Alligator mississippiensis: one gene and its partner. The protein of the gene in region 1 binds, or shares a complex with, the protein of each later gene. Links are inferred from orthologs where the notes say so. Each region holds a gene or a part of one and is shown on either strand. Other genes may lie near its edges. The genes, in order: LATS1 and WWC1.

Evidence for each region.
Region 2: the proteins of LATS1 (region 1) and WWC1 are in contact, whole or in part, in a crystal structure (PDB 6J68), measured with the Mus musculus proteins. The link is inferred for Alligator mississippiensis from reciprocal best matches to the Homo sapiens genes LATS1 and WWC1. Residues at the interface, in NP_034820.1 of Mus musculus: Ala546, Glu547, Ala548, Pro549, Ser550, Tyr551, Gly553, Pro554, Pro555, Pro556, Pro557, Tyr558, Leu562, Leu563; in NP_740749.1 of Mus musculus: Asp17, Tyr23, Ile25, Asp26, His27, Arg30, Thr31, Thr32, Ser33, Trp34, Asp64, Val67, Tyr70, Ile72, Asp73, His74, Lys77, Thr78, Thr79, Gln80, Ile81.

The regions. Positions count from the first base shown.
Region 1 is NC_081824.1:128,988,906-128,999,958, reverse strand, and holds the start of LATS1 (serine/threonine-protein kinase LATS1), read left to right. Parts: upstream 1-6,906; 5' UTR 6,907-7,032; intron 7,033-11,053. Other genes in the region: nucleoporin Nup43, read left to right, coding at 168-290, 2,951-3,177. UniProt on the Homo sapiens protein: Negative regulator of YAP1 in the Hippo signaling pathway that plays a pivotal role in organ size control and tumor suppression by restricting proliferation and promoting apoptosis.
Region 2 is NC_081832.1:52,216,116-52,226,609, reverse strand, and holds the start of WWC1 (protein KIBRA), read left to right. Parts: upstream 1-5,897; 5' UTR 5,898-6,072; coding exon 6,073-6,191; intron 6,192-10,494. UniProt on the Homo sapiens protein: Regulator of the Hippo signaling pathway, also known as the Salvador-Warts-Hippo (SWH) pathway.

The DNA of each region.
Region 1 (11,053 bases):
CACCTCCACACTGCCTGCTCTCTGCTACCTGCCCCACACTGGATATACTTGGTGTGATATTTGAGAACGGGTGTGGGCAGTTTTTCTCCAAGAGTAATACAGTATTAACTACTCTACCCATGATTACATATAAGTCTGTAACAAGCTTAAATCTCTTGACTTTTTAGTGTGGGAAGTTCACTTCCATCCTTCAAACCCAGATCACTTATTTACTTGTTCTGAAGATGGATCTCTTTGGCACTGGGATACATCTGTGGAGGTATCTGAAAAACCATCTTTTCTCCATCAAGGTAAAGATTATCTGGAGGCACATCCTTTTGGGCAGGTGCAAATTCTGTTTTGTTTAAGTGGCAACTAGCTCAAAATTTGTCTGGTTGTGGATAGGTAATCTCTCTGCTTATATCAAAGTATTGAAATTGAGAGTGACTTAGGGAGGGGGAGAGAGAGAGACCTTTTATGGGTCTCTTAAGAGACCCGTAATGCTTTCACTTTTGTTGCTGTATCTGATCCCTTTGTACTTGGGTGAAGGAGCATGTCCAGAATTTTCACAGCTGGGTAGATTTCATAGATATTGGGGCTGGAAGGGACCTCGCGAGATCATCGGGTTCTGCCAAGGGGCAGGAAGTCAGCTGGGGTTAGCAAGGTAAGCATCCAAGCATTTCTTAAAGGTATCCAAGGTAGATGTTTGGATCACTTCTGGGGGAAATCTATTCCAGACTCTGGAGACTCAGATGGTAAAGACATTTTTCCTTATGTCCTGTCTAAAACAGTCTTCCAGCAGTTTGTTACTGTTAGACCTTGTCTTCCCTGCAGGAAGCCAAAGATAAGGAACTCTGTGTTGAAGAACAATAGATACCATATCCCTTCCTAAATTGTTTAAATAAATGCCATGTCACTACCTAAAGTCCATTCATAGCATCTTGTGAAGTAGTTTGAGTACAGAAGCTCATGTCTGAGCCAATTATGCTCAAGTGCCACCCTGGCCTACCTTCAGCTAGATTCTTTAAAGGCACTTGAATTATATAAAGCATGATAAAGTTGCACTTAATTGGGTGCCATTTCAGCTGACTACTGATTAAAAGTTTAATATGGTATGCTGTACATCCACTTCCAAGTGCTAGTGTGGCTCTGAGTAACAACTGTGGTCCTTTTAACACAAACTCGCTCATAGCCTTGGGGGACCATAATTTACTGGATATAGTAACAGGCTGACTGAAATGGTGGAGAGCTGAATTCAAACTAATATAGACAACAAAGTGGACATATGAATTGTACAACTTTTTTTGTCCCTCTAGACAAAATTTTTTAAGGCAGCAAATGGGAGAGCTCTTTTGTATGCGTGTTGAAAGAAATTGAAAATAAAAGGGTATTCTGACAAAAGATGCATACTAACATGGTACTCTCCAGGAAAATTTAGAATTATGCAAAATTAATTTACTTTTTACAAATTGAACTAAATATTTAACACTTTAAACCTTCACATGGAGGACTGGCCTGGCCCAATAGTGTGTGGGCCAGGCAGACTCTATGCCTCTGTGTGGGGCTTCCAGCACTCCAGTGGGAAGCTGCCCATGGAGGCAAGCAGAAGCCCACCTGGCCTGATGGAGTGTGACTCCGTGCTTTCATGTGCAGCTTTGCGCACAGTTCCCAGTCCATGCACCATTAGGCTTGGCTGGACCTCCATGTGGGGCTTCCAGCACTCCAGTGGGAAGCTGCACATAGAGGTACAGTCACACACTATTGGGCTGGGTGGGCTTCTGCTTGCCCCCACATGTGGCTTTCTGTTGGAGTGCTGGAAGCCCCACATGGAGGCATGGAGTTCACGTGGCCCTATAACTTGCAGTCTGTACCCACCCACTCCCATGTGTCTCCGCCCCCTCCCACACATGCAAGCAGGAGCTCCCCTCCCCACTTGTGCAGCTCTGTGCTTCCATATCACGGGGCTCCCAGTTGGAGTGTAAAATATGCAATTATGCGAAGGCACGCCTTTTATGTGCAAAATCGCGCAGGCACATAATTGTATAATTCCCCAAGGTGTAACAGGGGCAGACTTTGTTGCAAAAGTACCTTCAGCATTCTTTCATCTGTATTTTAACACTGAATTCTACTTTCCTATAGATACAAAATGTGACTTTATACTGACTTTTAGTGTTTAAAAACTTGAAATTTCAGGTTACAAAGCATCAAGATAAATAAAAGTAGGGGAAGTATTCAGGTACTCTTATGAGGTGTAGCACCTTAAACTTCCCTCTGGTGTCAGTTCTGAAGAGAAGAATTGAAACAGCTAATAATAAATCCAGCAGCATTCACATATTTCATGGCAGGCTTATAGCACTGCTGGTTAAACACTTGTTTCTAAATAGGCTGCTGCCCATAGTCTGTCTTCAATTTTTTAATGACAGTGCTGCATATTAATTTGACTATTAAATTTGTGACTGCATTTCTTTCTGTAGCAGAAATGAAATCAAATCTGGAGTATCATTTTGGGCAGAACAAATAAGAGGAGGGGATGCTAGGGTTAAATATTTCAGGCAAATCGGAAGCAGCCAGAACCATAGAGTACTGTTTGCAGGTTTTCTTGTATGAGTCTAGGCTTGCTTTAGTGTGAAAGTGTTTCTCTCCTAGAGAAACATTTCACATTTCCAAGCTATTTACTAGATAACAACACTAAGGAGGCTCTTTACAATTCTGTTAATATTCTGGTCCATTCAGCTAGAGAAACTGCTGGTAACAGGCTAGCAAAGACAAAGTATTCTTGTTGTTTTAGTGAAACAAAGATATCCCCCATTACTTGAGACTTGAATAAGTCCATTTAAACCAAAAATAAATGTACAATCTTAAACTGGTATTCTGCCATGTGAAATAAATGAGTAATATGCCATCCATAATCATGAACATAGCTAAACAAAGAATGAGCTAATTTTTTTCTCTCTTTCTCCCCACTCTTAAGGTGGAAGAAGTACATTTCTGTCACATAGTGCCGTTAACCAGCCTAATGTTAATCAGTCTGTAGTGAGTGCCTGGCTAAGCAATGATCCTACCAAAGACCGCATGGAGATCACTAATGTAATTCCAAATCCAACTTTATCTGTTAACAGTGTGGATGTCTTAGGACCATGTCTAGTATGTGGTACTGATGCGGAAGCTATTTATGTCAAGAGGCAACTTTTTGCTTGAATATACTTCAGAGGAACACCTGAGCAGTTTGCATGCCTCAAGAGCTCCTCAGGAGAGGTCCTCAGGATTCTAGTTTAATTTTAAAATGAAATGTGTTACTCTGTTAACAGTGTTTTGTACTGAGACCTATAATGTGGTCCTAGTATTGCAGAGAGAGCGCAAGTTAGCTAATACACTTCTGAGATCTGTTCCACTACCCTCTGCTTATTCATAAATTTAAAGGGGATGGCAGCTAGCTTGTTATTTAAGTGTGCCCTCCTTTCCATTTTTTTTTTCCTCCACTGCCTGACTTTATTTGGCAGACTGGAAGCCAGTCAGCCAGGAAAGAGATTTAAGTTAATACACGAGGGTCCTGTTAAGTGAAAAATACTTTTACATTTTAATATTAGCACAAAGTGTTGTTAAGGGCCAAAACTAACAGTCTGTTTCTTTTTGTTTTTTTAAGAGAGATGATGCTTTTCAAATGTGAGATTTTTATTTAAATAATCTTATGCAGTACTAGAAACCCTATTCTTAAGCTGGTGCGTGAGAGCTGAAGTATTCATGTTCAGTGAAATGCAAAATGACAAATAGCTTGCACGAGTAAGCTATTATAAGAGTTCTAAATATGATGAAACTGTATTGATTTAAAATAATGCTGGTGGTCTTTGCAAGGACACATTTAAAACCCACCTTTCACGATGTGCCTGTACCTGCTATGCTTCTGTAAATTCATGGAAGCCAGAGCTCTGACCATTACTATTCTGTATAAGGAAAAAATCACCTGTAAAAACAGGCTTAGGGGTTTGTTTGTTTTTTGTCAGAATCATGGAAGGCTAAGTCTAAATGATGCCAAACAGCAATTGAAGAGCTTTCTGATTTGGCTTTTTTCCTGGTGTTATGTTGCAAGCTTTTGTTGCAAGGAATCCTTTAATGTTTTTAATAAATATTTTTTAACAAAATGCTATTTACTCATTCTTTCTGCCTTTCACTTTGTACTATAATCTTAACTTGAGTAGATGGTGCTTCAAGCAGCTTACAGAGGGGCAAGCAATTTATCTTCTTGGCTTAGTTTTGTGTTGTTACAGGTGATCAATCCACCCTGGGCTCCTATACATGTGCAGGGAGCTGGCTTTGTGCTGGAAATACAGCACATCTGAGCAGACTTAGTAGAGTTGGCTGGAGCACAGAAATAAACATGCTCTAGCAGACTCTGGTGTCACATATATTAGTGTCTAGCTTTGAACTAAAGCTTGTGCGATGAGCTTTAGTTCAAAGCGCCCAGCCGCCATTTTTCAGCATGGGAGATATTGATACACGTGATGCTTGGGCTAATTAAAGTGGCCACCTGCACCTCCTGGAGCACGTGTAACAATGTCCCGAGCCTTTGTTAGGAAGGGAGGCATGTAATTAAATCAACAATTTATTTATAGAAGTCTATTTTGAATTGTGCATCCATGCTGATGTCCCACCATGATGTGGTTCTTTACAGGACCAGTGGTCTGTCTGTTCTAACTGTCTTGCAGGGTTGGGGTATAGCTGTTGCAGCTTGAATAGCCTAATTTTTCAGAGGTGGTGGCAAACTCAAGTCCGAGGGTATCACTTTGCAAAGGTGAGTCTGTGATCTGTCAGTTACATACTGCACGTGCTTTAGATTTTACCATATTTACTCAAATCTAAGATGTGGTTCCCCTCTCCTGCAATCAGCATGGTGGGGAGGGGAGAAGAGAGCCTCATCTTGGATTTGAGTTCCAACCCAGGGGAGATCATGGCTCAGCTCTGGCTTTGGCCCCAGGCTTGAGGTTAAAGCTGGAGCAGAGCTGCTGCCTGCCCTGGGCTGGAATGGGTTGTTTCGGGGAGGGAGCTTGCTACCAGGAGGAGTGTGAAGGGGAGAGATTGGTGGGTGAGGAGGGAATTGCAACCTGCCATCCTCTACCTTACCTTCTGCTCTGGCTTCAATTCCTCCAGCCCCTACCTGGAGCTGCCTCTGCTTCTCTGGCCTGGAGGAGCAGAGCTGCAAAAGTTGATAAAAGGTGGGGAGCAGGCATGGGCTGGGGGAGGTGGGAGAGCAGGCTACCGGGGGAAGGCAGGGAGTGGGGATAGGCACAGAGGGCAATGGGCAGGTGGCCAAGTGGTGAACGGGCACAGAGATTGTGGGGGTGGGACTGAGGAATGTCAGTGGGGGCTGGCAGGGGTCTGCTGCTTTCCCTGTCACAGCAGGGGGGCAGGGATGAATTCAAAATAACCTTTCACTAATTACTTTCTATGCATGGAAAACATAACAAATTTATGATGAAATTTTGCTGGGGGGGCTGGCCCTCTACCTGGGATTTCTTGAGAATCTATTGACAGCATTTAATAGAAACGGGGTGTTGTCTGTGGTGGTTCCCCTAGTTTACCTGTGGCAGGTTAAGGTGTTAGGTCTGCATTGTGTCAGGGTTGATGGTAGGCTTGCATAGAGTTTAGATAAAGGTTTGGAAAGGGATGATCCTGCTTCAGGCAAGGGTTGGACTAGACCCTGGAGGTCCCTTATGGGCTACTTACCTATGATTCTATGATTTTCCATGTGTAGAATCTAATTACTGGGAGTGGGGACATCTTAAACTTAGTCATCTTGGAGTTGGGTAAATATGGTACATCTAAATTAACTTGACCACCGGTAAGAACATAGACCCCAGAAACTGCATGTTCTGGATTTGAGTCTGATTCAGTCTGGTTCTGTAGGGACAGTCTCTTAGCCTCTCTTCTGCCTCTCTTTTTGTGTGTGTTGCTGGGGGTTAGTGCTGGAGCTCTAACAAGCCCAAAATCAAAATGTGCAGCTCCTAGCACAGGCACTCAAGCCCAGAACTGTGATTTGTGCAAGTCACTGTCTCTGCTTCAGTTTCCCCAGATCTAAAATAAGGTTGACAAGTCTTTATCCCCTTTTTGGGAGGTGGCAGGTACCAGCCCAACAGCTATGGGACATGATGGGCAGCTGGAGCCTGGGAGCTGCTGGTTCTGCCTCTGGATGGTAGAAGGAAGTCACTGGGAAGCAGCATGAGATGAGGCTAAAGATGGGGGGGCTGAGCCCTGCCCCCCATTAAGAGGACAGCCCAGGCTCACCCTATATCTTTCTAAGTAGCTGACACCAGTGGCTGGCCTGGCTGCTCCTTCCCACACCTGGCCAAGAGTCGGGCTGTAATTTGAACCCTGGCTGAAGCTGGCTCCCTACTCCCACTTCCTTATTCCTGGTCCCAGTTCCTTTTGGAAAGCTAATTTATACCCAACACAAGCTAGTTTATTCATGAATGACACATTCAAAAGAGAGAAAATTTAATCAGCTATGAACATTTCCCAATTAATATGTAAAACAACGCCCGGCGTTAGGCTCGGAGCCCTAAATAAAGATAAAACGAGGAAGGGATGATGGGGCAGAAGACTTCAGGGAGAGGCGCTACGCTCCCCTAAAGCCCCAGCAGCACATGGTACTGCCATGAAACCACTGCGGCGATAAGGGCCCTGGTGCTGGGGCTACTGCCACGTGAGGTGCAGCCTAGGAACTTCACCCGCCCTGAGCTGAGGGTTCGCACGTAAAGTAGCCGGGAGGGGGAGGGGCTGGGGCACCGGCCCCGCCCCCCGCGCGCGGGCCTGCCCCTCAGGCGGGCCCGGAACGCCAAGGCAGCAAGTATTCCTTTCCGAGGGGCGGTGGCGCAAGGCACGCCGGGATCTCGCCACATCCGGGAAGCCCTCGGCGACGGACCCGCCGACAAGATGGCGGCCCGGAACTGAGCCCCACGGGGGGGTGGGGGAGGGGACGAGCCGCCAGCGCCGCCAACCGACGCGGCGCCGCTCCCCGCGCGCCCGGGCCCGGGGCGCCGCGCCGCCGCCGCCACTCAGGTGGGTGCGAGCCGGGGTCCGCCGCCCCCTGCCCTAGGGCGGCCTGGACCCTGCTGCCGCGATCGCCGTGGGGGCGGGCCTGGCCTCAGTCGCTGCGGGCCCGTTCCGCTGTGCTTCCCCGGGCGCCCGGCCTGGAGCGGGATGGGCAGGCGGTGGGGGTGAGGAGTCTCGTTGAACTCTCTGGGCCGAGTTGGGTTGCAGAGGCAGCGAGGAGGGTGCTGCAGTTGCATATTTGTCTTCGCCTGCTTTGTTTTGTGCAGTGGTTAAACGTCAGCAGGTTTTTATTCGGCTTCGGTAATGTCTTGTGCCGCCTGGCAAACTTAGGCACGTCCTTGTGAAGTTGGGGGTGTTCTTGTGGTTCCTTGCTGCTGTCAGGAGATGCAGCTGTATGGGCACGCGACCCGCAGCTGCCATCCAGGGCAGGCCTTGGGCCAGAGGTTACCAACCACCGGTCTGTGCCTCGGTACCAAGCTGCAAAGGGTTGGCAGCTGGGTTGTGGTATGAGCCCCTTGCTCCGACCTCATTTGTCTGCCTGGGTGAGTGGCTTATGCTGCAGGCAGTTACATGCAGGGTTAAAGCTGGGCGGTGGGGCAGCCCCCAGGGGGAGTGTGCCCGATCCTGCTCCCATGCTGGTCTGCAGTATGAAAAAAGGTGGGAACCACTGCCTTGGGCCACTGCCATCCAGGCTCCCTGTCTTCTTGTTTCGGACAGTAGCGGCATTGACGATCCAGTGTGTTGTGGTGTATCGAGAATCTGGTAAAGGCTTCTGTGAGCAGCTAATGTTTTTTGGAAGTTTGGGCTGGTAAACTGAGATGCTGCTTACCTTGGTTTTGGTCTCCTTAAAATACAAAGAGGAGATAAGTGATACAGCCGCATGGAGGGGTAGAGAACTACGTGAAAAGGGATAGATAGATCTGGTAATATCTCTACCCTGGTCACTGTGTATTAGAACTGTGTGGTAAGAGATTGATGCATCTGAAAATATATTTACCACGGTCACCTGCCACACTGCAGGTGGGGCCACCATCCACTCCAAGTTCAGGGTAAATCTTCTGTAATTCTTCACAGTCAAGGTTGATTGTCTTCAGTGGTTGTTTTATGTGCGTGTCCAGAGATGGCTGATGAGGCCTGTCTGGGATTGACAGACTCTGCTGCATCTTGGACATGTGTTTCTGGGTGGGGTGGGTGGCACTGGATTTTTTATTTGGTCCCCAACATGCTATTTCTGCTGCTCCTGCTTTTCCATTTCTTGTCATGAGATTTCAAAGTGTTGAGACCCCCTTCCTCCATTTGGGTTGGTCCTGGGCAATAGTCTCCCATGAGTTATGGGGAGTACTGCCCACATAGCGAACTTATTTTTGTTTTAAAATGTGTATAAATTCAATGTTTGTGAAAGGTGATGAATTGGCAGCCTTAGGGCTTGAAGTTTCCTATGTGCCGCTCATGTATAGATCGCACACAATGACAGTAGTTGTTGCTTCCTTGTACTTTGTTAAGCTGGAGGCATCAATTTAAATTGGCTTCAAAGCAATTTAGTTCCCAGCTCCTCTTAGTTTTTGACCAGTAAGGTTAAAACCACCAACAGAATAATAAATGATTTCCAGCACTTTTTTTACAGCATTTGTTGTTTAAGGATCTTGGATCCCTTTACAAAATAAAGTATGTATAGCCATCTCATTTTGTAGAGGGGGAAATTGAAGCAGGAAAGTCACTTTGTAAGCCTATAGAGGTGAATAAACAGCACATTCCAGGGCTCCTGACTCCTGTTTAAGTGCCCTATTTGCTTGACCACTGATCTTAAGGGTGTTGTGTTTGTTTGCCTCAGTTACAAGGTGGTGATTGATTGATTAACAAAGCAAAGAAAATTATGGAAAAGCATGCAAGCGTGGAGTAAATAGGTTGTTTTTTTTTGCTTTGGAATTCCAGGATTATGTGAATGTGTTATGAAAATTCCTTGTAAGGTTTTTTGGTGAGGGGTTTAAGGATAAACGTGTGATAAAAGAATGAATTTTGTGTTTGTGCTCTGATGTGGTTATCTATCCATCAGAAGTGAAAAGAATCTGTTGGGGGGGTTTTGTAGTTTACCTATTGTTCATTAGATTATGATTGTTTCTGATTGCTACTAGATTTGGCTGAATTTTAACTGGTAACCAAAATACTAATAAAATGTTGCTCCTTATTGGCTGAGCCATTGAGCCTGTTGTGTGTTTTTTGTTTTTAATATGACTTTGGATAAGGGGAGAAACCCTGCATGTCATCTTCCTAGATGTGGAGATTCTTTTCAGTTCTCTTAGTGTATGTCTCCACCTCATTTTCTTTCATAGCCAATTAGCGAAGCAGTTAATGCAATCTCTGGAATGTACAAAAACAACCCTTGACCATTATCTGGGCCAATAATAAATTGGCAGTGGTGGGGGGAGGGATGATGTCTCTTGGCATTGTTGATTGAGACCTTTGATTTTTCTTACATGTATTATGTAGGGTTTAAGATTATGTTTTGTATGAGAGAGTTTGGATAGGGCTGATCCTGCCTCAGGCAGGGGGCTTGACTAGATGACCTCTGGAGGTGCCTTCCAGCCCTACTTCTCTAAGATTCTATGATAAAGACATTAAGGTAAATAATGATTAAAGAAATGAATTTGTTTCAGCATAATTATCCTTTAAGTCACATTTATGACATGCTTTCAGTTGAATCATGTTTCCCTTCAACTACTACTCTTTTTTTAATGTTAAAATTTCTAGTTAAGAATGACCCATGTTAAGGTTGGCTAGGGAAGCTTAATTGTCCTTGCATGTGCGTGACAGTGATCAAATTATTACATTATTTTATAGCAGGGATATCAAACTGCTTTGGTCCCCTAGGCCAGATTGGACTATTGGACTCCTTTCCCAATCAAGCAGTTGGTCCAATAAAAGAAAGCATTTCACTTAATAAAACTTACACATCGGTTTAAATCAAATTCTTGATAAGAGTGAACCTTTTTTTCCTTTCCCTGTCCTTTAAGGAAGGAGTGAGTTTGCACTTTGTAAATGTCTGGATTCTCCAAAGTAAGGCGGATGAAGCTTGACTTTCCAGTGATTTTTCTGGGAAGTTAAATTAGCAGAGTGTTTTTATTTGTTCAAGTCACCTTTGTGTGTAATAAAGAAATTAAAAAGGCTTATAATATCCACTTCTACCATTCTCCCAATTGGCTTTGAAGAAAAAAGCAAGACATCACTAGAGTGCACTGTTCTTTGCACCTTAGGCTGCCCATAGAATGAATTTGTTGTCCTGCAATGATGCAGGAATTACACAATTTTTTCTTTATAAGATGCACACTGATCAAGGCATGGCTCCATGAGAGTGACCAGACTTGCTTGTTGCACATATCAGCAAACTGCTTATATACAGCACAAATTAGCCATGTAGCATGCACATTATGGTTTTCCTTAACTGTATTTTACAAGTCTTTAAAAGTTGACTGTGTGTGTTCACACAGAATTAATTATTTCTGTGTTAGCTCCATCAAAACAGAAACTTATTTTTAGAATAATGCATGTAGAGGTTCTTGGTATACCTAACCTTTCCTCTTTAGAAAAACTATATAGAATTCTAGTACTCTCAGGTATAAGAGCATGCAAGCCCATCACAGAATTTGTCTTATCATCTGAAGGCAGGGGTGTTCAACTTTTGAGGCACAGGACAGGCCATGGGCTGCAAATCACGTGAACCGCATGCCACGCACACAGGAAGGGAGCCTTTTTCTCCCTTTCCCTGCAACACAGACATCTTGGTCCCATCCCTGCCACATGCACTGCCCATCTGCAGTGAGGGCAATCCAGCTCACTCTTTTGCTGTGTGTGCGCAGTGCAAAACAGCCCAGACTCTCCCCTGGTGTGCACACAGTCTGGGCACTCCATCCCTTTCCTACTCTGCCACCAGCTGCCAATAGCGGGACCAGTTGGTAGAAGCTGGAGGAGGAAGGGGGAACCCAAAGAATCTGGTCACTGTGGCAGGAGCTCACGTCCCCCGTGGTATGGA
Region 2 (10,494 bases), on another chromosome or scaffold:
ATCTTTAGTGCAGGTGTACAAAGTGCCAAAGATTGCGAAGGTGACATATAGCAAACAGACAGCTGAGTGACTTATGATCACTGGCTCTGATAGTGAAATTCCACATGACTCATGATCTATAGCAGGTGTCCTTCTTAGGATTGCATTCCACTGAAGCAGACCTCACCTTAAGAATGTTTACACTGGATTTAGGAGATAAGCAAATCCCAAACTTACTAGGAACGGCCTTTAAGTGGCGGGGGAGGGGGGAGAATGTGAGTGTTTAATTTTGTTATATTTACTTACTCTCTCACAGAACCCTATCAGTTCAGTCTTCAGGCATTGTGCAGTAATGATGGACCCAAGCAGCTTGACACATCCAGCTTAATGTTACATAACTAGCCCTATGTTGCGACTATGGGCCCAACCATTCTTCATTAGATGAGAATCTATTGAACTGGAAGCCAAAATATTTAACGTTTGAAAACAAGGGTCCACTCTAAGTCAATGAATTTCTTTGAATAATATTTCCCTATTGGACAAAGAAATTTGCATAAAAAAATGAAGATAATAATAAAAAAAAAAAAATCTCTGCTAAGATGGAATCAAGACTCTGTAAACTGCTGGAATAGATATGAGCCAATTAAGGGAAAATATTTTTTAGACCTGACATGCTGGACTCCTTTGAAGCTTGCAACTCAACAAGAAATCTTATTTGTTATTTAGTAATGGACATGCTCGATGCCTGCTTAATTAAATGTTGTAGCCTTATGTTCAAGATATCTATATAATCAACTCCATAAAGGAGGTGAAACTTCAAGAGTTACTTGATTTCTTTGATTTATGCCTCTGATGTTCAGAAGTCTCTATTAACCATGCCCACAATTAGACTGTATGCATGTGGCTGTTCTGTTTTACTTCCGTACTAGATTGGACGCACTGGATAAATTCATAGATTCACAGGTGCTAGGGTCAGATGGGACCTCAACAGATTATCGAGTCCGACTCCCAGCTCTGGGCAGGAAAGAGTGCTGGGGCCAGATGACCCCAGCCAGATGCCTATCCAGCCTTCCTTATTGTAAAATTGTTGAAATGCTTCTCATGTTGAGGGAGCTGTACTCAGGATGGCTTCAGCCTGTGATAATCAAGGGGAGGGATATCCTAGGAAGAGATATGTCTAGGCAGGACCCTCTACATTCAGTCTTGCTGACTTAGCGCTGCCGAATCTTGCAATAGTTGCAATATATTTGTTAAAGCTTCAGCTTCAAGATTCACGTACATGGGAATCAATTTTAGTTTTAAAACAAATGGAAATTTCTGGCCTTCCTGGGTGTGGAGGAAAGCCTAAGAACATGACCCAAGTGAACTGTATTTGTTCAAAAATCAAGTGATAGACAAGAAACTAACCATGATTCATTTTTGTAAAAAAATCCCTTTATGATGTCTTACTTAGGATTTTTCAATGCTTGGGGTTGCCAATATGACAAAGTTTGATATGTGGAAGTAGAACCTATATTACTAGTTCCCTTTGACAATAAACACTAATCTTAGTGTTTACTTCAATTGTAAAGTTTTAAGTTTATCCTTAAAAAAACATCATGGGCCCCTGATAGAAGTTGAATACATTATTTTTTTTCTTATTTTCAGACCCATTTGGCTTCATTGGCTTGTTTATGATGACATGCACAATAATTAAACCTAATAACCCAAACAGACATTTTTGTGTTTACTTTTGCACTTTCCTCATTTATTTTCCACCAAATAAGGGAAAAGTGCTCAAAAGATAGCATCCCAGGCTCTGGTCTACTCCTAAGGGAAAAAGGCTACCTGTACTGGGTCAGTACAGCAAGCCCAGTCTCCCATCCCATTGGGTCCCATCCAGTCCTTACAGCTTGAAAAATAAACCAGGAATTTAAGCAGTTATGCACATGCCTCTTCAGATGGAGTTCAGTCATGTTCTCTATGGGGAATTGGTCACAATAGCTAGTGCAGAATAGTCTATTCCCCACTATCTCCCATGAGGAGACACACTATTTCAGAATAAGAATTTAATTTATAGCAGAATCATTAGTACATCTCTAAATCTGAGTAATTCTGGAATAAAATAAGTTTTATCCCAAACATTGTCCAAATGGGAGCTATTGTGGTAGGGGTTATTCCACAATAACTTCTAGTAGCCAGTTTCTATGTACAGACACACCATAATGACAGTAAGGAGAAACAAAACAAAGAGATTGCAATTGCCTTATCCCCCACTCTGTCCCTCCCTTTTATGCATGTGAAAACATACTTATGAATCATCTCTTCCTTTTGTTTGCTCATGAGGCCATAATCACCTGGTCTTTTATTACTTCATAATTCAGATAGACTGTGATAATACTGAATTCCTTTGTTGTGAATGCAAGTGTAAAAGGCAATGAGTTACAACACAAAAATTTCTGACTGTGTACATGCATATGTTTTAATGAGGTAAACTTTTTTGAGGAGTTAAAAGAGAGAGAAAAGCAAAATTAAATGTCTTTCACTTTACATTTAAAATATTTGGAAATATTTTCCTAGATACTTTAAAAAAATAATTAAAGGAACAAAGATATTATAAACAGGTCGGACACCTGGAAAAAAGCCATTTGTCAACCTTTCTGTATTTCATATGTATTTATGAAGCATATCTTGTGAGAAAATGATGAGCAATTGAACATAGAAGTTCCAAATGGAAATGCTGTTGAAAATGGAACTGTTGTATGTGTTACTGGGGAAAACTGATATACGAATATGATGTACAAAACTGATGTACAAATACAAATATGTGGTTTTTGTCTCAATGATATAGGTGTTCTTTCTCTCTTCTTTTTCTTGCAGCTTTCTCCTGTCATTTTACAATATTAATTGCTCCTGATTTTTTTGTTTTGATGTTATGAAACTGCTCACCTAAGAGCACTTTTTTCAAGTAATAAAATATCTAGTAGGTTCTTGCCCTCTCAGATATCCTGCAACAATGACTTCTGGGGGGTAATCACATTCTGCATAAAAATGTAATAGTTTTAAATATTTTTGCTTTTTTTTTTTGCTTACATTGATTTACCCTTTGTTTTTGCACCATCAGAGAAGGGGAATAAGAGTGCCTGGTTTACCATTTGTTACAGTCAGCACAATTTTTGAGGACCCAGAAGTCATCCCTTACAGGTATAGTTTCCTCATGACCCAGTTAACACTTATTACACTGCAGAAGTTCTTTCTTATAATGGATGATACCTATGGACCCAGAGGATGGTTCCCTCGGGAGCTCAGGGGAGCTGCAGCCAATCAGAGAGGAAAACCTGGTAGGATGTGGTTGCTGCTTTACAGAGAAGCAGCTATCACTGGCAGCATTTCAAAACATAGGTACCGTATTGTTTTTGGTTTAACTTCAATTAATAATCTAAAGAACTGGGTTTACTCTAAGTGTATCCTATAAAATAAACTGTCCTCTCTTACCAAAAGCATATTTTATTTTTATAGGGCTATCATACCTTTTCTATATGGTGTATTATTTTGTATGTTTCAGCATAACGTCTCCTATGTTTTACCTTTAAAACCAAATAGTTTTGATCACTTTTGTATTTTCACATGCTTTCCATGTTTCTAATAACTCTTGTTGCCTGTCTTTGAATTGTCACTATTTTTACTACCCTTCCACTAGCAATAGTAAGAGCTGAACTGAATACAATATTGCAGCTAAGTCTGATTATAAAGTCATAACACTTCCGGTATTTTTCCTCCCATATCTTATAACTCTCGACACCTCGGGTTTTGTACACCTCGTACATTAATCAAAGGCGTCTGTTATACTGTACATATAAATGGGCTGGTTTTACCATGAGTTCTTGTTACTCTGGAACTTCCTAAAATGTATAAGTAGTTCAAACAGTTACTCCTTATGTACTTTACCAGCAACAGATTAACAGTGAATGTCGCTTGTCAGATGATATGGGAATATCTGTCTTTATTTTAGACTATCCTATTCTTTCTTATCCCTGGCAGACTTTGTCACTTCACTCTTCTCTACACTCTTCCAATCACTAATAAATGGGCTAAACATCAGTTGTCATACAGAACCTTGGGATACCTCACAACTAACCTCTGCCTCATGTTGAGAATTGTCTGTTTATTTCTACTATTTAGTTTCCTATCCACGACAGACCTCAACCTTTGTGGAAACTCTTTCAAAAGCATTTTGAAAGTCTGAATAAGCTGTTAAGGTGTATTTGTCTGGTATGCACAAAGAAGTCTAGTGGACTAGAGGGACGGCTGTCTTTCACGTGCACCACGCTGACTCCACAGATACCCTTGAGAGTTTGCTAGGTTCAGGGCAGGCCCTGGAGCACATTTTTCTTGGGGGAAATGGAGGAAAGAGCTTTCTGAGGAGGTCTTCCCTGAGACTTTTTCCTTTTTCTGAAAGCTTCATTAAAGGAGAACAAGCTGGGCTACAGTATACAGCTGAGCAACATATGACAACCAGAATTGTGCATTCTGCATCTTAGTGGAATAGTAGGTTTGCACCTTGTAGAGCAGGGGTGGGCAAAATGCGACCCGGGGGCCGGGTGCGGCCTGCTAGGCCATTCTATCCAGCCCGTTTTTTAAATTAAAAAAAAATAATATTTATCTGCCCTGGGCTCCCTGTCACGCGACCCTCGATGGCTTGCCAAAACTCAGTGGCCCTCTGCCCAAACTAATTGCCTGCCCCGTTGTAGGTAGATATAGCAGAAGCTTTTGTTGGCTAATGCTTACTCATCAGATACTATTCAAGTAAGTTTCAGCTCACAAACTTATCCTGTATAGATCTGCTTTGGTCAGTCTATGAGGTGCAAATCTAACCTGCCTTCTACTTGACCTCACACTAACATTTAACTAAGATGTCTCTTAGTGGCCTATCAGTTTTAAAATAACTCTAGTGATGTGTCTAAAAGCAGCTCAGATGTACTCTTCTGCTGTCCAACATCCATCCAAGTCTCTGCTGTGTTTACAGCTCCATTATTGATCCTCATATTAGCGTTAAAGACACCACAGGACTTTCAATGAGAGCAAGGTTTGCCCTTGTGTTCTTTGCTGTAAGTCTCCGGAATGAATGGGGGTGGCTACTTCTCTTCCAGAAGTGGGTGCTACAGGCATGTAGCTGACACCGTACATGAGAACGAGGAGGGTCGTAGACACCCTAGGGAGAGAAACGGGACTCGGGGATGTATCCCTCCCTCCCCTCTACGTGCTCTCTTGCTCAGTGCAGCCTCACAGATGCCCCCTTGAAAGTCTCATAACTGAAAAGCGTCGGCAAAAACCATCCGAGAGGCTTAACGCTTCTGCCTGAAAACTTGGCTAATGGTGGAGACCCCAGAGCAGAAGAGTCAAACTGCTGCGGCCCCCCTGGCCCATGACTGAAGCTGCCCGCTCTGCCTGGGAGGCCTTTCCTTGCCCCTCCCCCGCGGGTGCGATGCCTCCCCGCTGGGGCAGGGGGACGCGGGGGGAAGTCAGTCCTCTCCTGCCGACAGGTGCACGTGGGAGCGGCCCGGGGGCGCCGCTAGGCGCGTGCCCTGCAGGGCAGGGGCATCCGGGGGGCCGCCCCGAGCACCTGGTGCCGGGAGCAGCCCGACCCGGCCGGTGCCCCGGGCAGCGCCCCCAGCGGCCCGGCCCGCGGCGGGGGGAGGCGCCTGGCTCCGCTACTGCCGTGTTTACAGTAGCCGCCGCGCGGCGGGATTGCGGGGGCCGCGCTATTACCTGCATTACAGCGGCACCTGGCCGGGCGCGCGCGGCGCTGCGGTGAAGCCGGGCGGGGCCCGGCAGGAGCGAGCCCGGCGGGCAGGGAGGGAGGGAGGGAGGAACGGAGCGGAGCCGCTCCAGGCCGCGGAGCGGAAAATGGAGGAGTGACCGGAGCCGACAGCGCCGCCCCGGCCCCGGCACCTGCGGCCGCGGGCCCGCCCCTTGCAGCGCCCCCGGCCCGGCCCGGCCCTGCCCGGCACGGCGGGATGTGAGCGGAGCGGAGCGGCCGCGGCCCCTGCTCCTGCCCCAGCCCCAGCCCCAGCCCGGGGCGCTGCATGGGGCGGCGCGGGCCGCCTGCGGACGATGCCGCGCAAGGAGCTGCCGCTGCCGGCGGGCTGGGAGGAAGCCCGGGACTACGACGGCAAAGTCTACTACATCGACCACGCCACGCGCACCACCAGCTGGGTCGACCCGCGGGACAGGTGCGGCCGGGCCGGGCCGGGCCGGGCCGGGGGGGAAGGAGCCCGAGGGGGGAGCCCGCCCCTGCCCGCGGGCGCTCGGCTCTTCCCCGGGCCGCGGGAGCCGGGGGCTTGCGTCCCCCCAGCCGGTGCCGGTGCCGGTGCCGGTGCAGGCCTCGGCCGTGCCCCCCCCGCCCTGAACAGCAGCTTCTCGGACCCAGGTCGCACTGCGCCGCCCGGGCGCTGCGGCTCACCGGGGCAGGTGGGACTTGGGAAAGTTTCTGGGAGAAGGACGGATATGCCGCCCCGCGGGGCCGAGGCGGGTCCCGTTGGGCTCGTGCTGGTGCCGGTGCCGGGCTGTCAGTCCGCAGCGCCTTGTTTTCAGTGTCGGCGGCGGCGGCTCGGGGCCACTGGTCTGTTGGTGACACCGAGGCACTTGGCTGGATTCAGGCCCTTGGACGGTCTCGCCCGCGGCTCGCTGGGCTCTGTCCTGCCGCTACCAGCACTCCCCTGGTCATGTGCACCTCCCTCACCTCTTGCATTGTCCTTTTACACTCATTTAAAATTCAGAAAGTCACCTTATTCTCCCTCTCTCTTCCTTTTTTTTACTTCTCGTTGTCTCCTCCCTGCCCCTGCCAGGATGCCACTCAGATCATTTCTGTCTAGGTTTGGTGAGGCAAGCTGTTAGCCAAAGTCCTCCATTTTTATGCTGAATTCCTTTTTCTCCATTCAGCATAACCACTCCCAGCCCACTGGGTCCTGCCTCAAGCCTAGGCTGAAAGCTTTGTGTGATGGACAATGCCTAGCACAACCCGGCCTTGATTCTTGCCTGCCATTCCTAGTTGCGGTCCCAAACAATGAAAGGAAAGGTCTTTCTCCGTGTAGGTGTGCCTTCTGCCTGCTGTTATTTCAGGGCTCTGGCAGATCTCAAATGCATGCTCTTAATATGCAAACTTCTCTATCACGGTATAATCCCCAGACCCAGTCAGGTTCAGAATGGGCTGGGCCAGTGTATAATGGTAGCAGGCTCTTTGTGATCTTTGTGGACAGTGGTTCTCAGTCTTTTTGGACTTAGACTTGAGACATCTTCTTCCAGTCCTGCTTCTCTTTGATGATGCTGATGACTTCTCAGAGACGGCCAGCTCCTACCTTTCACTTGGTTTTTTACTACAGAAAAATAATTTAATAATTCTTCTGCTGCAAAGAGCTCAGAAAGACCATAACAGATCAGAATATTATTTTACGTTACTATGGATTCCTGTGTGAAATCTCTGGGTTTATTGTTTGGATTGTATGTAGAAATGTATGCATCTAACAGTGCTAATACTGCACAGCACCCTGTGGTGCCCTTAAAAGGATCCCACAGTGCTGTGACACCCTGCTTGAGAATCACTGGCAGTAGGGACTAATAATCTAAGTTCAGTGGGGTTTTTGGCTCATCTGCAAAACAATGTCATGACCTAGATTAATACATTATTTACTAAATCATTAATCTCCCACAGTGTACTTCTGCAAATTCCCATGTCCACTTTTACTACCTGTCTGCTTCTTTCATGCCCCTCAGTTCTAAAGTGTGCACTTGTCTTTTATTGATCATTTTTAACATGAACTCAATATTTTTAAATGCCCTTGAGACTAAAAGTGCACATTCCATGTATATGATTTAGGTACAGTTTCAAAAAGATACTTCAGTTTGAAAAGGCAGTGCATCATTTTTCGGCATAGCAATTACAACTAAAAATGCAGCATCATTTTTCTTGCTAAGGTTGTGGAAAAGTCCTTGAAACTTAATTATAGTGTTTCCCACGAAGCAAGAGGTCTGACCAAGTGTCTTGGTAGATTTTAGTCACCTACATGGCTACTACACCTGAAGAAGAGAACTCTGCCTCAAGTACCATGATGCTAAAACTTCAAAATTCAGTGTAATTTTCTAAAATATCATGCAGTCTGCTGAGGTTTCTGATTTGTTACAACACAAAAGAACTAATTCTTAAGGAGTTCATAATCCAAGCCAGTCTAACTGCACAAAGTGTTATACAGTCATTTAAAAACAGTTGTGTGGTGCAGAGATCTTTAGGAATCTTCCTTGTTGTGCAGTGATTACAGGTCTGGGCTCAGTAATCTTTAAATGGATTATTTTTCCCCAGCAACTTGATTCTTTGAATTTTTTAAAATTTAAGTCAGGATACCAATGCCCACACATTCTTTTAATTCTAGTTAGGTTATTCAGCTGATCATCCAAATGTTCATTAGCCGTGGGAATGAATGTTTTATGCAGTTCCTAGCTTTACAGGATTTCAAGAAGCATTCTGCATTCCAGGAGTAATCTTTTGTGTGCATACTGTACACAAATGTAATCTGCTGATCTGTTGGAGGTAGGGAATTCATTTTAAGGTTTCCCTTTCAGTAATTTGCTTGAGAAGCAGCCAATAATAGAATTCCTGCCAGCTTTTCTTAATAGTTAGAGGAAAACTATGCCAGCTTAATTTAATTCCTAAAATTTCCCAAACACTCTTAGTTCTTCTAATGAAACTAAAGAGACAATAACTCATTAACATTAGCAAGGACAAATACTGGATTCTACAAGTCCTGATCTCTTACTAAGTGTGGGATGGTACGAATGGTTACAATTACAAGCAGATACCTTATTTTAAGTATGTGTTTTGTGCTACTACAATAACATTAACTGTTTGTTTTATTAATTGTAACTAGTTTTTTATTGTTTTGTGGAAAACAGTTAACAGAAATCTAGGTTTCTCAATAGCATGCATGGTACGGATAAACCTTGAATCTGAATATGCTCATTCATTCCTGAGCAGGAAATCTGTTTTCACATTCTGTGAAACTTTTCAAGATTTAAAGACTGTTTCTGTTTTTGGGAGGAGGAGTGGCAGAAAAGAGATGCAGTAAAGACATCTGCTTAGTTATAAGAGCTCTTACCTGGGCAGTGGAAAATAAGGTTCAAGCCCCTTGTTCTACTGTTCTCCCACAAAAAGTTCCATCTTGAGCAAATCAGCAAATGAAAATCTATTATTTTATTGAGAAATTCATGATCAGCCTGAGTCAGGAATAGCTACCACTACTGAAACCACTATACAACTACCCAGTACTGAAACCATTAGGTTATCACAGTGTAAACCTGGGGTGAGTAGAATCTGGTGCTTATTTTACTTTATTTTACTAGAATATAACATTATTAGCAGTATTAGAAGATAACAATGAGTTAATTTTATGCAATAGACAGCCCTCTGCATATAATCAGTTTAACTTATTTGTGCAGTCTTTCATATAGCAAAAAAGATTAAAAAGTGTGGCTGTAAAACCAAAAACTGCAGGGGTTATGGAGGCAGATATATGACTTCGCTCTTTTTGAATTGAGTGGCTTCAAACTGGCTAGATTTCAAGTTGCCAGTGCCCATATAATATCTGTTCCATTTATTCAGCAAGCAACGAGTGGTAACTAGAGATAGGAAACAATTTTTAAAGCTTTCTCAGATCTCTCTTTCTAGTTTAATTTAGTGTAAATAAATATGAATAGGGATGTTGTACAGCTTCAGGGCTTAAGTTAAGTCTCTCATGCTTTTGTTACAATAGTTGGTGCTGGGTTTGCAGTTAGATGTGCAATGTGGTAATTAGGCTTGTTGAATGAATTATTGCAGAAGTGTGCCTGTATGTAGTTGAAAGCTAACGTTTTCCTTGATGTTCCATTACAAGGAGAAGTGGTGAACAAAAAGTGTTCAGTAATCCTCTAGGAATCAAGTGAACTACTGGAGTCACCTGCATTAACTGAAATGATCCCATTTCATTGAAGAACAGGGAGTTTTGTGCAAAAGTTTAAGTATCTTATTACCTCTGTCATAAAAAGCATCCTAATTTATTTACAAGACAAGAAAGTAGACTCAGATGCTGGGTAGGATCAGGCAAAGTGTCTTCTGTGTCATGAGATCTTTCCTTATAAACCAACCTGAATTTCAAAGTCCTTAAGGCGTTCATAGTTGTTATGAAATGAAGAAGGTGGCTTATCTAAAGCATGTGACTTAAAACTTAACTGCTCTTTGCCTCATTGCCATTTGCTCTTTGCCTTTTTACAAGGAACAATGGCCACAAGCTAGCAGAGAGCAGATTTAGATTGGACATTAGGAAGAACTTCTTCACAGTTCGAGTGGCCAAGGTCTGGAACGGGCTCCCAAGGGAGGTAGTGCTCTCCCCTACCCTGGGGGTTTTCAAGAGGAGGTTAGATGAGTGTCTAGCTGGGGTCATCTAGACCCAGCACTCTTTCCTGCTTATGCAGGGGGTCGGACTCGATGATCTATTGAGGTCCCTTCCG